4 linked regions of the Saccharomyces cerevisiae S288C genome follow. The protein of the gene in region 3 interacts with the protein of the main gene of each other region in a biochemical or structural test. Each region holds a gene or a part of one and is shown on either strand. Other genes may lie near its edges.

Region 1 (2,760 bases), on a different chromosome or scaffold from region 3:
CGTTCGCCGTGGAAAAATGGCCAATTACGTTAGACACAGACTCTCCAGTTTGGTTTAATTTTGCATGGTATGGATCCTTACTCTCGATGATCATTTTCATGTGCGTGCAATGTAAGAGAATGATATCTTGGAATCCGTGGACAACTGCTGAACCTTCCTTTTCTATCAAATGGGAGGTCTACAATGAATTTGGCTGGGAGTGCATTGTCGGTTGGTTTTTACATTTTTACATCTTCACAATGAGTCCACACTTCAACTTGGGGAAAAAACTGTACTTCCAAAGTTTTTTCTTTAGTGTATTGTGTCTTTTAGAATCGTTAGATTGCCTTGCAAAGTAACTCGTAGAAAGATTTTCTCCATTATGATTTTTCTCCCATTGCTTCAATAATTCTCCGGTACAAATAGAGTAGCACAATTATTTATAAGAATAACATACATACGCTTAACTCTGCCATATAACTATAGTACATTTTCTGTCCTCTGTTCGCAAATTTCTTTGTAAAACTTAAGTTTATGTGCTCTTTTTTGAGTTTGCAATGCCATCTACAAAATCTTCAATTAAAGAATCAACGTGCCTTAAAAGTTTCTCCTTCTTTTTGATGGCCTCAATTTTTTCGTCTTCCACTTCAACTAGCTTTTTCTGCAACATATCAATCTTCCTTAATTGCTCTTCAGCTGAAACGTCAACACCAGGTAACGAGTCAATAAGCTTGTTTATCTGTCTTGTTTTAAGTATAATGTCCGTGGATAGCTCATCTATCGTGTTAGAAAATTCCTCAGGAGGTACTACTGTGGCATGCTTATCGGACATCTGAGGTTCATTTACGGTCAATCGTTCAAAACCATGGTTCTTATCTATGTAGTTTAAAGTAGCACAGAATTGCTCCGTCATTTGGTCTAAACATATCTGCAATTGTGTTAATCTATCTGTCATTGTTAAAGAGCATATAATGTATTGAACTAGTGAAATGTTATGTCCCTCTTTTAACCAATGGTTTACCGTTTGAATTATAATTATCTTTCAGAATTGATTTTTTTTCTAACTTTCTTGCAATGCGAACAAAGCTTGTAATTAAGCACGTACGGTTGGCCTTTAAAGGATTACAGAGAAAGACAAGGCTTCTACAGAAACAGCCACATGTTCTACAAAAGCGCACTTCACGCATATAAGCATATAAATGTTAGTTATATGAACAATCTTAAGTAATATATAATAAATCAGAAAAGTTTAACTGTAAAAGAAATTGTGTTTTAAAAGAAGATATAATAAACGAATGTATGGGATAACGCCAAGTTAAATGAATGTCCTTGTTTTGTAACTAAAGCAGAAGAAATAATATTGTTAGCTCTAGTTATTTTAATAGTGAAAAAATAGCCGAAATAAAGAACAAAGAAAAAAGAATGAGGAAACGAATGAATGAGATTAACGAGTAAAAAACGAATGAATGATACTTCAGATGGTCCTTGAATATGTTTTATAAGCTGATTCTTTGAATTTTTTTTTTTTTTTTTTTTCATTTTCTGTCCTTAGCTTAAGTTTGCAGGGGCTCGAGCTGGTTGAAAGAATAAAGAACATCATCGAAAGATTTTCTATGGTTTACAGGGGAGTCAGAGTAGGAAAATTTAGATTGTGGAGAAGGCGTAGCTATAGAGTTTCTTCTCTTGGGAAGAGGGCTTTGGCGTGAAGGAAAGAAGGCTTTTGCTGAGTCCTTATTTGAGTTTGGGGTCTCTAAAAGGCTACGATAAGCGCTTGACCTCTGAGAACGAGGCAAGAAGTCTAAAATAGGCTTATCTTCAAGTAGTGTGGGGAAGTTGTAGTTCTTCAAAAAATCCAGCGAAGACTCACTAGAATCCGTGGAATTAGTGTATCTATGACCCAGAGCGTGTGACTTATTTTTAAATTGTTTTGGAGATGCGTTTGGGGAATACTCAAAAATAGATGTAGCCATAGTTGACGTAGATACGACTCTCCCATTAATGGAATGATTGTTTCCTTGTGTGTTTTTAGAGTAATTGGAGGACGTTACTGAGATCGAACGCGCGACTGATAGTCTTGATGTCTTATTTTCGTGCGATCTTGAAATGAGTTTGCTTTCACGATTAGCAGGGATCCTTTCAGTGACAAAAGCTTTATTTAGTGATTTCGAATCCCGCTTGCTTGAGGAGGAGGTATAGTCGTCCTTAATCTCTGTGGACAGCGATGAAGGTTCCTGCAATTGCTCATCTTGGAATCCATTTCTAGTGTCAGCATGTGAAATATGTTGAAAATCAAATGGTGTGGAGATACCTTTACCTCTTATGTCCGGTTGGGCACCAAGCAACTTTTTCTTCAACAAATTAAGCTTAAGGAAAACCTTTTTGTGATTTGTCTTGTTGGCGCTGGACGATGATGACGATGATTCTTTAGACTTTGCAGAGTTAGAATTACTTCTCCTGTGGTGGCAAGACGGATGTGAATTTGGTGAAAGTGGAGGCAACTCAATGTTTTTCTTGTTACTCAGCACAGGTTTATCGCTGTTGATGAAAGTAATGCCTAGGTTTTCTTCATCATCAGATCCCATGAATTGCTGGGCCTGCAGACCGTAGAGTTTTTCAGCTTCTTCATCTTCATCCAGCCAAATCGACCGCATCTGTGGAAGGTTCATGGTTTCGTTTCCAGTATTGGTAATACTTGCACTAGTCATATTCGTTCTTTTGATAGCGTATTCTGTCAGGTATTCCTTTTGTTAGTGTTAGGTGTTTCGGAGCGAAAGATCGAGT
Region 2 (2,650 bases), on a different chromosome or scaffold from region 3:
TCTGACTTCGTTGTCATGAAAATATAAGTCTACTGTATTACTCACGCCCATAGTCAAGGTTTCTAACAGACTTTCAATTTTGGTTAAATTTACTGGCAAGTAGAAAGGAACACCTTGCAGAATATTTATCAATTTTGCTTGCGTTTCCAGTAATTTTAAATCGTTAGCAATTAAAGGAATGTCGTTCGTATCAATAGAGGCAGGTATCGGAGATAGGTTTTCAGCAGCGGGTACCATGAATAGCTTTTTTTTTTTTTTTTATTCGAAATCTGGGGATTCTATACAGAGTTGTAAGTTAGGCAAACTAGAATTTGGTAATAATATTTTATTCTTGGGGCGACATATGGAGATACTTTATTTCCTTTTCTTAATTATTAACGTATACCTATAAATTAACAAAGTATCTAAACAAAATACATAAGTGTACTCAAACTGAGTAGAATCGTCGATTAAACTTCCTTCTCCTTTTAAAAATTAAAAACAGCAAATAGTTAGATGAATATATTAAAGACTATTCGTTTCATTTCCCAGAGCAGCATGACTTCTTGGTTTCTTCAGACTTGTTACCGCAGGGGCATTTGTCGTCGCTGTTACACCCCGTTGGGCAGCTACATGATTTTTGGCATTGTTCATTATTTTTGCAGCTACCACATTGGCATTGGCACTCATGACCTTCATTTTGGAAGTTAATTAATTCGCTGAACATTTTATGTGATGATTGATTGATTGATTGTACAGTTTGTTTTTCTTAATATCTATTTCGATGACTTCTATATGATATTGCACTAACAAGAAGATATTATAATGCAATTGATACAAGACAAGGAGTTATTTGCTTCTCTTTTATATGATTCTGACAATCCATATTGCGTTGGTAGTCTTTTTTGCTGGAACGGTTCAGCGGAAAAGACGCATCGCTCTTTTTGCTTCTAGAAGAAATGCCAGCAAAAGAATCTCTTGACAGTGACTGACAGCAAAAATGTCTTTTTCTAACTAGTAACAAGGCTAAGATATCAGCCTGAAATAAAGGGTGGTGAAGTAATAATTAAATCATCCGTATAAACCTATACACATATATGAGGAAAAATAATACAAAAGTGTTTTAAATACAGATACATACATGAACATATGCACGTATAGCGCCCAAATGTCGGTAATGGGATCGGCTTACTAATTATAAAATGCATCATAGAAATCGTTGAAGTTTGCCGTAGTAATACCCAGATTATCAGATTCCAAATCCTTGTCAATAATTATACTCCTTTGGACAACTTCTCTTTCCATTAAAAAATCTGAAATCTCCTTAAATTTTAAATAGATTCTGTTCAGTTCACTAACGGGGAATTTCAAGAGAACATTTTTGTTCTTCGCCGACTGACTATAATCTGTAACATTATTGTTATCAGAGTTTCTCGCAAAATTTTGTTTTTTCTTGCTAAATCTCAGCATATATTTAATCAGATTCAAAACCTTGTTGAAACCTTTAATAGATTTGAAACTTCCGTTGCTATTCATTTCATCTCGTAAAAAGGATACGATAATTTCTATTTTTTTTAAAATTTCCAAAATCTTGTCATGAATCAATAGCAATTGAACATTAATCTCCTCATTTGAAAGATTTTTGTAAAATTCGTCATATAATATTACTTCACAACGTTGGAAAATAGCAAATGTGATTGCTATAAAATTCTGTAAGATTTCAATAAAATGATTTGCGAATAAAAATTCTTTACCATTAGAATGAAAGCGATTATTGCCGCTTGAAAATGACTTTATCGACTTTATGGGGAAGATAAAATTAAATGTTATTGAGTAAAAAATGTGCATATTAGAAATAATTTTCATCAGATCCTTTGCACATCTTTCAGAGTTCGAGGTCTTATTGTTGTTAGAAGAATGTTGAACTGCCATGGACAAAGAGGATTCGTTTTGAACAAAAAGGAAAAAATTTGTATAAACAATGGTATTGATAAAATTTAAAGTGTCTTTCCATTCTTTTCTGACTTCGTTGTCATGAAAATATAAGTCTACTGTATTACTCACGCCCATAGTCAAGGTTTCTAACAGACTTTCAATTTTGGTTAAATTTACTGGCAAGTAGAAAGGAACACCTTGCAGAATATTTATCAATTTTGCTTGCGTTTCCAGTAATTTTAAATCGTTAGCAATTAAAGGAATGTCGTTCGTATCAATAGAGGCAGGTATCGGAGATAGGTTTTCAGCAGCGGGTACCATGAATGAAGACTGACCTAGAAGCGAATGTCTTGAGTAATACATTTTTTTCAAAAAATGGAATAACTTGAAATCTTTTATCTGGAAGCTTAACAGACAGCTCAAATCTTCGTCTAAACTTGATTTATGATCATCATGCATGTACAGAGATTCATAAAATTTTGTGATGGCAATAAATTTGATTGTCTCTTGGTCATAATATTCCAGGTTTATCAATGTGATTTGGCTTCGAATCAACCTCAAATTATTCATTAATGCCGAAACATGGTTATTAATAGCCTGCTTATTGAATAGGGTCATTGAATCGTTTAACAACAGTAGAAGCACAGTTAATTCGCCTAGTTTGGTCAGTTGAGATAAAGGAAGATCGACCGTTGAGAATGAAGGACAGGTATCACCATTTGGAAAAGAGTTATGA
Region 3 (4,386 bases):
CTGACCTTCGATCGAGGATGATCTACTGTATGGAATATGGATTGGAAGCCAACGTTAGAAACACTAGGGCTAATGGGGTTCCTCGAGCCCTTCAAATTCTTGATGGAATAAACGTCATCATTTGATGTGTCTACAAGAGTTTGCCGGCTAATCTCGCTTGTAGTCTGAAAATTTTTTACTGGGGCTGTGGCTAATTGCACATTAAGGTATTGTTCGCTATTGACAGGGCGTTGTGTCGTAGTAGATGTTCTTTCTCGAAGGAGTATATCTTCTGCTGTCATAATGAAAGAACTTTATTTCTACAGAGGTCAATTGGCGTTTCTGTCACCTAGATCTTTTCATTTGGTTATTCCCTCTATAAATTTACTCATCGGTCAATTTTTCTAACATTATGCACCTTTGTCACCGGCCCTTAGAAGAGGTGAAGATGATTCGTGAACATTGGTGATAAGCGAGAATATTTTCTATAAATTTGTAAAGTAAAAATAAATTACGTGCTATTTAGTTTGCAATGTGTACTTATTGTTAGTATATGTATTTTTTGCATGCGGCGATGAAGGCCAGTAAAACCAACGCTCTTGCATGCTTACCTCTTTCATCAGCTGGTGATTTAAAAACCATTCCCAACAATATCAGTGACATATAAGAGAGCCACGACCCCGTTTTGGTACACTTAAATATGATTATCGTTAATATCATAGAAACTAGTTTGTAACAAACCTGGATTGTTCTATTTAAAGCAGAATACTTTTGGAGGTTTTGGGTTGATACGGTGCTCAAATTTTCCTCTGGTGCTGGTAATGATAAAGTAACGTTGTCTCCGTCAATATAATCATCAGTAAAACTGTTGGTATTCTCATTCACTTCCGAGATTGTACTGAAGTTCAAAGTGCTATCCACATTTTCTTTCCAGAATTTTTTGCCGGGTTTGGAATTTATTAGCATTTCATCTAACGTCTCCTCCACTGTCTTCGCTGTGGGTCTAGCATCATTATTTGGTTGTAAAAGAGCGTCCATTAGGTGAAATATTCTACGGTCTATTGGTTTCAATTTCATCGCTTGATGCTTTTCAATCATACCTTCAGTGTCGAACCTAAAATTTTTGATGCGTACCTTCAAATCAACTATATCCAACTGTGGTTCAAAGGGCAATTCACCGAAGACAATAAAATAGCAAATCATTCCTAGAGAATACATATCGGAAGCAAAGGTGTATTCATTGTATGTGTGACTCGATCTTGAAGGCAACGTAGAAGAAGAAACTGGTCTCCCCTGGATAATAAGGTCTGGTGCTGTAAACTCTAATGTTCCTGTGCAACCAGTACCCAATCTGGACTCTCCTTCCAACTGACTTTCCCCCAAATCGCCAATAACAATTGATGGGAAAAACTCATCTGAATTGTGTTCCCTGTCGTATACGTTGTCATTCTCATTGTCACTTTTAAATGGAGTCAATAATAAACAGTTGGATGGTTTCAAGTCCCTATGTATTAGGCCAATACTGTGCAGTTCGTGTAAACCTCTTGCAATATCCCTTATAATGGATACGAGCTGTTCCGTAGATAGGCCAACTTCTCCTGATTTACCGTGATTTTTCTTGCGAGTTCTAAATTTTTTTTTCCTCTCTTCAGGTGATTCGGTATCTGAGAACCTATTGAACACTTTTCTTAGAATACAGTCTTCTAAATTGCCGCCACTGCAATACTGTTGTAAAATGAAAATACAAGGAACTTCTTCTTGTGAATCCGATTGGCTCCCATCAATGGATCTGACAAATCCAACCGAAGAATCCATTTCGAGCCACACATGATTATACGTAATCAAATTGGCACTTTTGTGAGTTAGCGAACTCAACGCTTTCACTTCCCGTATGCACTTATTAAACCATTCCATATCATTTCCAATAGGTATTTTTTTTAGTGCAAAAACACCTAATTCAGTATTACCAATTGTGTGTACAACTTTGTAAACAGAACCTCTTGCACCATTTCCCAGCAAAGACAATATTTTGAAAAATTTACGAAAGTATCCGGGGATAAACAAATCATCTGGAATAAAGTATTTGTTTTTGCTGAACTGTCCCTGCTTATTGTTACTATCGTTTTGTAGGGCGTAGTGCCGATGATTTCTTTCCAATGACTGAAAATATCTTCTTGAAAAGCTTGAATTGGCAAATTCAAATCCAAGTGGCACAGTGTTCTCTGGAATACTGAGCCTACTGCTTTCTGATTCTACTCCAGCAGAGGCTCGACGATGAAGTTGTCTTCTGTTTATAATATCAGGGTTAATTTCCGTACCACATTGCGGGCACACATAGGAAGCAATAGGGCTTTTGTATTGATGAATCCCTGAAGGAAAGTCCAGTGCTGATAAAGATGCAGTCTGGTCTTCATTTAGTTCAGAGTCATTATTACTGTTGTCCTGTTGGAAAAATGATAAAGTTCCTGAGGTTGGATTAACAACCACCACTGATTTAGAATTAGGATCATCTAAAATCAGCGAACCTTCTTCATATGGTACTAAACTCATTTCTAAGTTCTACTTATGCTATCCCTCAAACTATATATCTAATAGTGTTTCTTCGGTTACCTAGTTGTCACTCATAGGATCTATATATACAATGTCCTTCCCCCCCACCCCCTTTTCTGAAACGTATACAAAAAATAAAGCTTGAAATACGTTATTACGTAAAAAAAGTGTACTGTAAAAGCTTACAAAAAAGAGTTTGCGAAAAATTATAAATAAAAAGTAGTCTAGGTAAAATATGAAATGTTTCTAATTATGCATTTATGTGATCCTGAAAACCGCCCTTCTTACGTTGGACCATGATGATCACATTTATAAATATGGTTTTCTTTCCAATGCGCATTTCACTTTCTGTGAGTTCAATTTTCCCAAATCGTCAAAGCTTTTGGAACAGTCAGAGCACTTGTATTTTTTCTGATGGGTCTTAATATGTTTGCTCAAATTTGACGATTCGTTGAATCTCTTACCACAAATCTTGCATTGTAAAGGTTTTTCACCAGTATGGGTTCTTATATGAATCTTCAAAGAACTTGAAATCGCGAATTTTTTATTACAAATGTGACATTTGTAAGGTTTTTCGCCAGAGTGTGTCCTGGTATGCTGAACTAAAGTTTCTTCGCTTGAAAAACACCTTTTACATGTCTTGCACTTATAAGGTTTGTATTTCGAATGCACTTTTAAATGACGGATTAATTTTTGTCTTTGGGGGAACGTACGATGGCAGTCATGCCACAAGCATTGGTATTCAGACTTACCCCGGGTTAAATGTACTGCTTCTAAATGGTCGTTTAATTCCTGAGCACTGGAAAATGACTTATTGCAACCATCCCATTGGCAAATCACCTGTTCCGGCTGCTTGATTGGCGGTATATTGGAAACATCATTTGCAGACGTCATATCAGGTGCTCCATCTGCTTTAGAAACTTCGTGTGTTTGTGGGTTGGGGCAATGTAGTAAGTGATGTTTTTCCTTTGATATACTACCAGGCAAAAATGAGTCTGGGTTGGCAAATTGAATATCAAAATTGATACCATGTTGACAATTAATATGGTTCACTATGGAACATGTATCATCTCCAAGGAAATCACAGTCCTCCCAATTACAAGCTAATGGTTCCATAGGGTGTTTGAAATCTTGAGAGACATGATCCTTCAAAAGATGTCTTTGTAGGTCAAATAGTGAGCTACAAGACTCAGGACATTCTTTCCATTTGCATTTTAAGTCATTGTTTTTCTCTTCTTTAAAACACCAGTTGAAATTTATAGTGCTTGTTGTCTGTATAGGAGGAGAGATGCTAGAAGGTAATGAGTCTTCCAAAGAGCTGAAATCAGTAGATTCTAGATCTTTTGTAGGCCAAGATCTACGATTTTTCTGATTCTGATGAGTGACTTTGGGTAGCGAAGGGGGCTCACTTTGATTTCTAAATCTTTCATAACTATACTCTCTTGAAATTAAGTCATTTAAATCGTTGTTAGTTAGATCGGCTGTTGTGTTCGCCGCGCTAATCCCTGAATTGTTCACAATATTGTTTCTATTTGGTTTGTGAGAATGAAACTGTATTCTATGGTGATGGTGTTGATGATCAGTTGAAGTTGCTCCAGCCGTATTGTTATTGCTTCCATTAAGATTATTTTTAGGGTTGCATCTATTAATGCTTGATAATAGAAGATTCATTGTTTGGTTACCGTTTTCATTATTTCCTGTGCTCGAACCATCGCAGCCGTTACCGGCATTATTGTGGTCGTGGTGGTTAATGTGTTTTCCAAACGGTACTTCATACAAAGAAGAAATATTGCATAAATCTTCCAAAATCTTCAAATCCATATCAGTATTTAAGATATGTTCGTGATAAGCATGATT
Region 4 (2,704 bases), on a different chromosome or scaffold from region 3:
GGCAGAAAAAAAAGATCCCACCGTAGCACACCAATATCTTTCCCACTTTCTTTTGAACAGGTAACAGATAACGAAGATGGTAAAAAGATAAAGGGAAGAACGGTCAGCACTTTCGCCTATGTTTTTCACGCCTTGACTCTTTAATCGCAGCTAAGGGCGAAATTCTTTATGCACACTGGTCTGTTGAAACAAGCATGCATGTTTTTTTCACCTTAGGGGCGCAGGAAACATTGTGCATAGCCAAGATCTCAGCAAACTCGAAGAAACCCAGTCTCTAATACATTCATTTCGAGTTCAAATTTTTGACTCATTCGAAGAGAAATCACAGGAACATCGTTAAAGTAAAAAGTGTTTTATTTTTATGGTATCTACCTATTCAAAATAACAAAAATTATTTAAAATTATGTGTAAAAATATATTAACGAAAAGAAAAGAATCAAACACTTACCTAGTAAAACCGAAAATTTTGAAAAAAGCCATATAGATATTATAAAAAATCAGAGATTTCTTATAACAACATAGCAGCAGCAGCTAGAGCACCGGCACCCATACCGACAGCGGCCTTAGCAGCACCATTTTCAGTTTGTTGAGAGATAGTTTCGGTGCTGGATGGAGAAACAGTTTCAACGGTGGAAGATGGGGCAGCAGTGGTGGTAGCTTCGGTGGTAGCAGTGGTAGTAGCTTGGATTTGACCGTCAGTGATTTGAGAAATGGCGGCAGCGGATTCAGCGGCAACAAAGTTAGCCAAAGCGACGAAAGCAACGGAAGCGACAGTAGAGAATTGCATTTTTTTTCTTGTTAGTGTGTAGCGAATGTGATGAAGTTATTTATTCTTGATTATGAGAAGAAAAGAACAAAGATAGGAAAAGGGATGGCAAGAAGAGAATTGAAAATGATGAACAAGAAGCCTGATTTATATACGATTATTGTATCTTATTTTTCAATTTTTTCGTTGTTTTTTTTTTAGAACGTTACATTTCTCTGTTTGGCTTTTGGTCTACGGTTCCCCAAATGCAGTTAAAGAATGGCAATAATACGGAAAGGGAAATGCAAGAAAGAGGAAAAAGGACGGTTCCAGATTTTCTAATGATAAGCGCGAAATTTCCGCAATTTCTAGGGTAGTGGGATGTTCCTATTTACGTTTACCATTCTTGAGAGTGAAAAACTTATTATATGGCCCGTTCCGGCCGTGGTACTGGGTGTTATGGCCCCAAAACGCGCATATTCCACGCCTTTTGGGCCTTGGCCGGGCCCCGCGGAGTGCCTGTGGAATTGCCCTTCGGAGCTAAGGCAGTTCAGTTCGTGTTGTTTACCTCTGCCGAAACTGAGGCCGCCCAGGCCCACTTTCGCTTCTCTTTGGCGTGTTGTGGCGGCGATCGCTGCATTGTTTCAAGTGCCCTGGAGACGTAAAACAGGCGTGGGAAAAGCAATCTTCTGCATAGGTTGCTGCTGCCTAGCATATCAGTGGCGCAGAACGCGGTATTTTGCATACAAGATTATGACAGGAACATGCTTCATGACAGACTTGGCGCCCTAACATCCGCATCGGTGGAGGCAATGTAATACTGTGATACTATGTGGTTGTTTGCCATTAGTTGCACATTGCAATAAAAGGGTCGTCAAAAAAAGACGAGCAGCATAGTATCTGTAGCATTATTAATATGTCTAGGGGATGGCGTACGTTATGCTTCTCAGACGGTTTTCTAAGAAAAGCTTTGTCCCTTGCGGTGACCGCACAAAATAAAAAGGGGAGGCTAGCAATTCACTCATAGCACCTTGTCTATTAGAAATGGAATGCATACTGATTGTCCTTGCGCTTAATTGTCTATTGTAAATTGTAATCGCATGGTCATCTTTTAGTAGCATCTCTATTACTTCGTATTATGGTCAGTAAATGATTGACCAAGTGCAAGCGGAATCTTTCGTTGCTGGACTCAATTGGTAATGTCTATATACACTATTGCAAAGTAGTTAAGCCTTGCCATTTTCATTTCTCTCTTACTTTTTAGACCAAATATTTAGCTATTTACTTTGACCGATTTTGCTCATTTTTCGGGTCATGGCATAATGAATAAAAACAACAATTGGTTAACAAAACGATAAAGGGCAATTGACGCTAAGAATAGAAACTTTTAAATACCGTTTGTACGTATGTAAACATAGGTTCCAGATGCATGCTCGAAATACATAATAAACTTACACGGGCGGCACGACTTTACTTAGTACGTTTTTCACTACGAGAGATTCCAGGAAAAGGGGATTCTCAAACTCATTAACCTCCTCACACTTAATCTTCGCAAGTTTCTCTAGCATTTCGTCCACCAAGTTGGGGTCGCTACCGTACAATAAGGAACTATCCATGGAGGAACGCTGAACCAATTCCAAGTGCATGGGGAAGTACCACCTGGACGCCTCTTTGACATGTGAAGGTGACACAAACATCTTGCCGCTATGTAGACCAATTAATCTAGACAATAACACCACGTCGTCCAATGAATTTGTATATACCCCGCCGGCTTTGGCGTTATACGTCAATCTATGCGTTCGCAAATGGACCATGATATCGAGAATATACCGTCTTACAGTGGACCCCACAAATACATCGTTCAGATTTGCCTCTTCATTTAATATGATCGACCTCTTGCTCTCTGGCTCCTGCTTCTCTTCCTCAGCCATACCAATGCTATTATTGGCTCTTGTATTA

Evidence for each region.
Region 1: the proteins of IKS1 (region 3) and SRB7 form a complex in vitro, tested with the Saccharomyces cerevisiae proteins (one large-scale study listed by BioGRID).
Region 2: the proteins of IKS1 (region 3) and CUP1-2 form a complex in vitro, tested with the Saccharomyces cerevisiae proteins (one large-scale study listed by BioGRID).
Region 4: of the proteins of IKS1 (region 3) and CWP2, one has a biochemical effect on the other in vitro, tested with the Saccharomyces cerevisiae proteins (one large-scale study listed by BioGRID).

Annotation. Positions count from the first base shown.
Region 1 is NC_001136.10:1,077,516-1,080,275, forward strand, and holds SRB7 (Srb7p), read right to left. Parts: upstream 935-2,760; coding exon 512-934; downstream 1-511. Other genes in the region: PMT7 (putative dolichyl-phosphate-mannose--protein mannosyltransferase), read left to right, coding at 1-338; GIC2 (Gic2p), read right to left, coding at 1,533-2,684.
Region 2 is NC_001140.6:214,013-216,662, forward strand, and holds CUP1-2 (metallothionein CUP1-2), read right to left. Parts: upstream 707-2,650; coding exon 521-706; downstream 1-520. Other genes in the region: YHR054C (uncharacterized protein), read right to left, coding at 1-237; YHR054C-B (uncharacterized protein), read right to left, coding at 505-678; RSC30 (Rsc30p), read right to left, coding at 1,171-2,650. UniProt on the Saccharomyces cerevisiae protein: Protects the cell against copper toxicity by tightly chelating copper ions. May also act as a depository for copper designated for the effective transfer into the apo forms of copper proteins.
Region 3 is NC_001142.9:327,593-331,978, forward strand, and holds IKS1 (protein kinase IKS1), read right to left. Parts: upstream 2,530-4,386; coding exon 526-2,529; downstream 1-525. Other genes in the region: BIT61 (Bit61p), read right to left, coding at 1-281; ZAP1 (Zap1p), read right to left, coding at 2,839-4,386.
Region 4 is NC_001143.9:257,336-260,039, reverse strand, and holds CWP2 (Cwp2p), read right to left. Parts: upstream 788-2,704; coding exon 509-787; downstream 1-508. Other genes in the region: YKL096C-B (uncharacterized protein), read left to right, coding at 818-967; YKL097C (uncharacterized protein), read left to right, coding at 1,127-1,537; MTC2 (Mtc2p), read right to left, coding at 2,197-2,704. UniProt on the Saccharomyces cerevisiae protein: Component of the cell wall.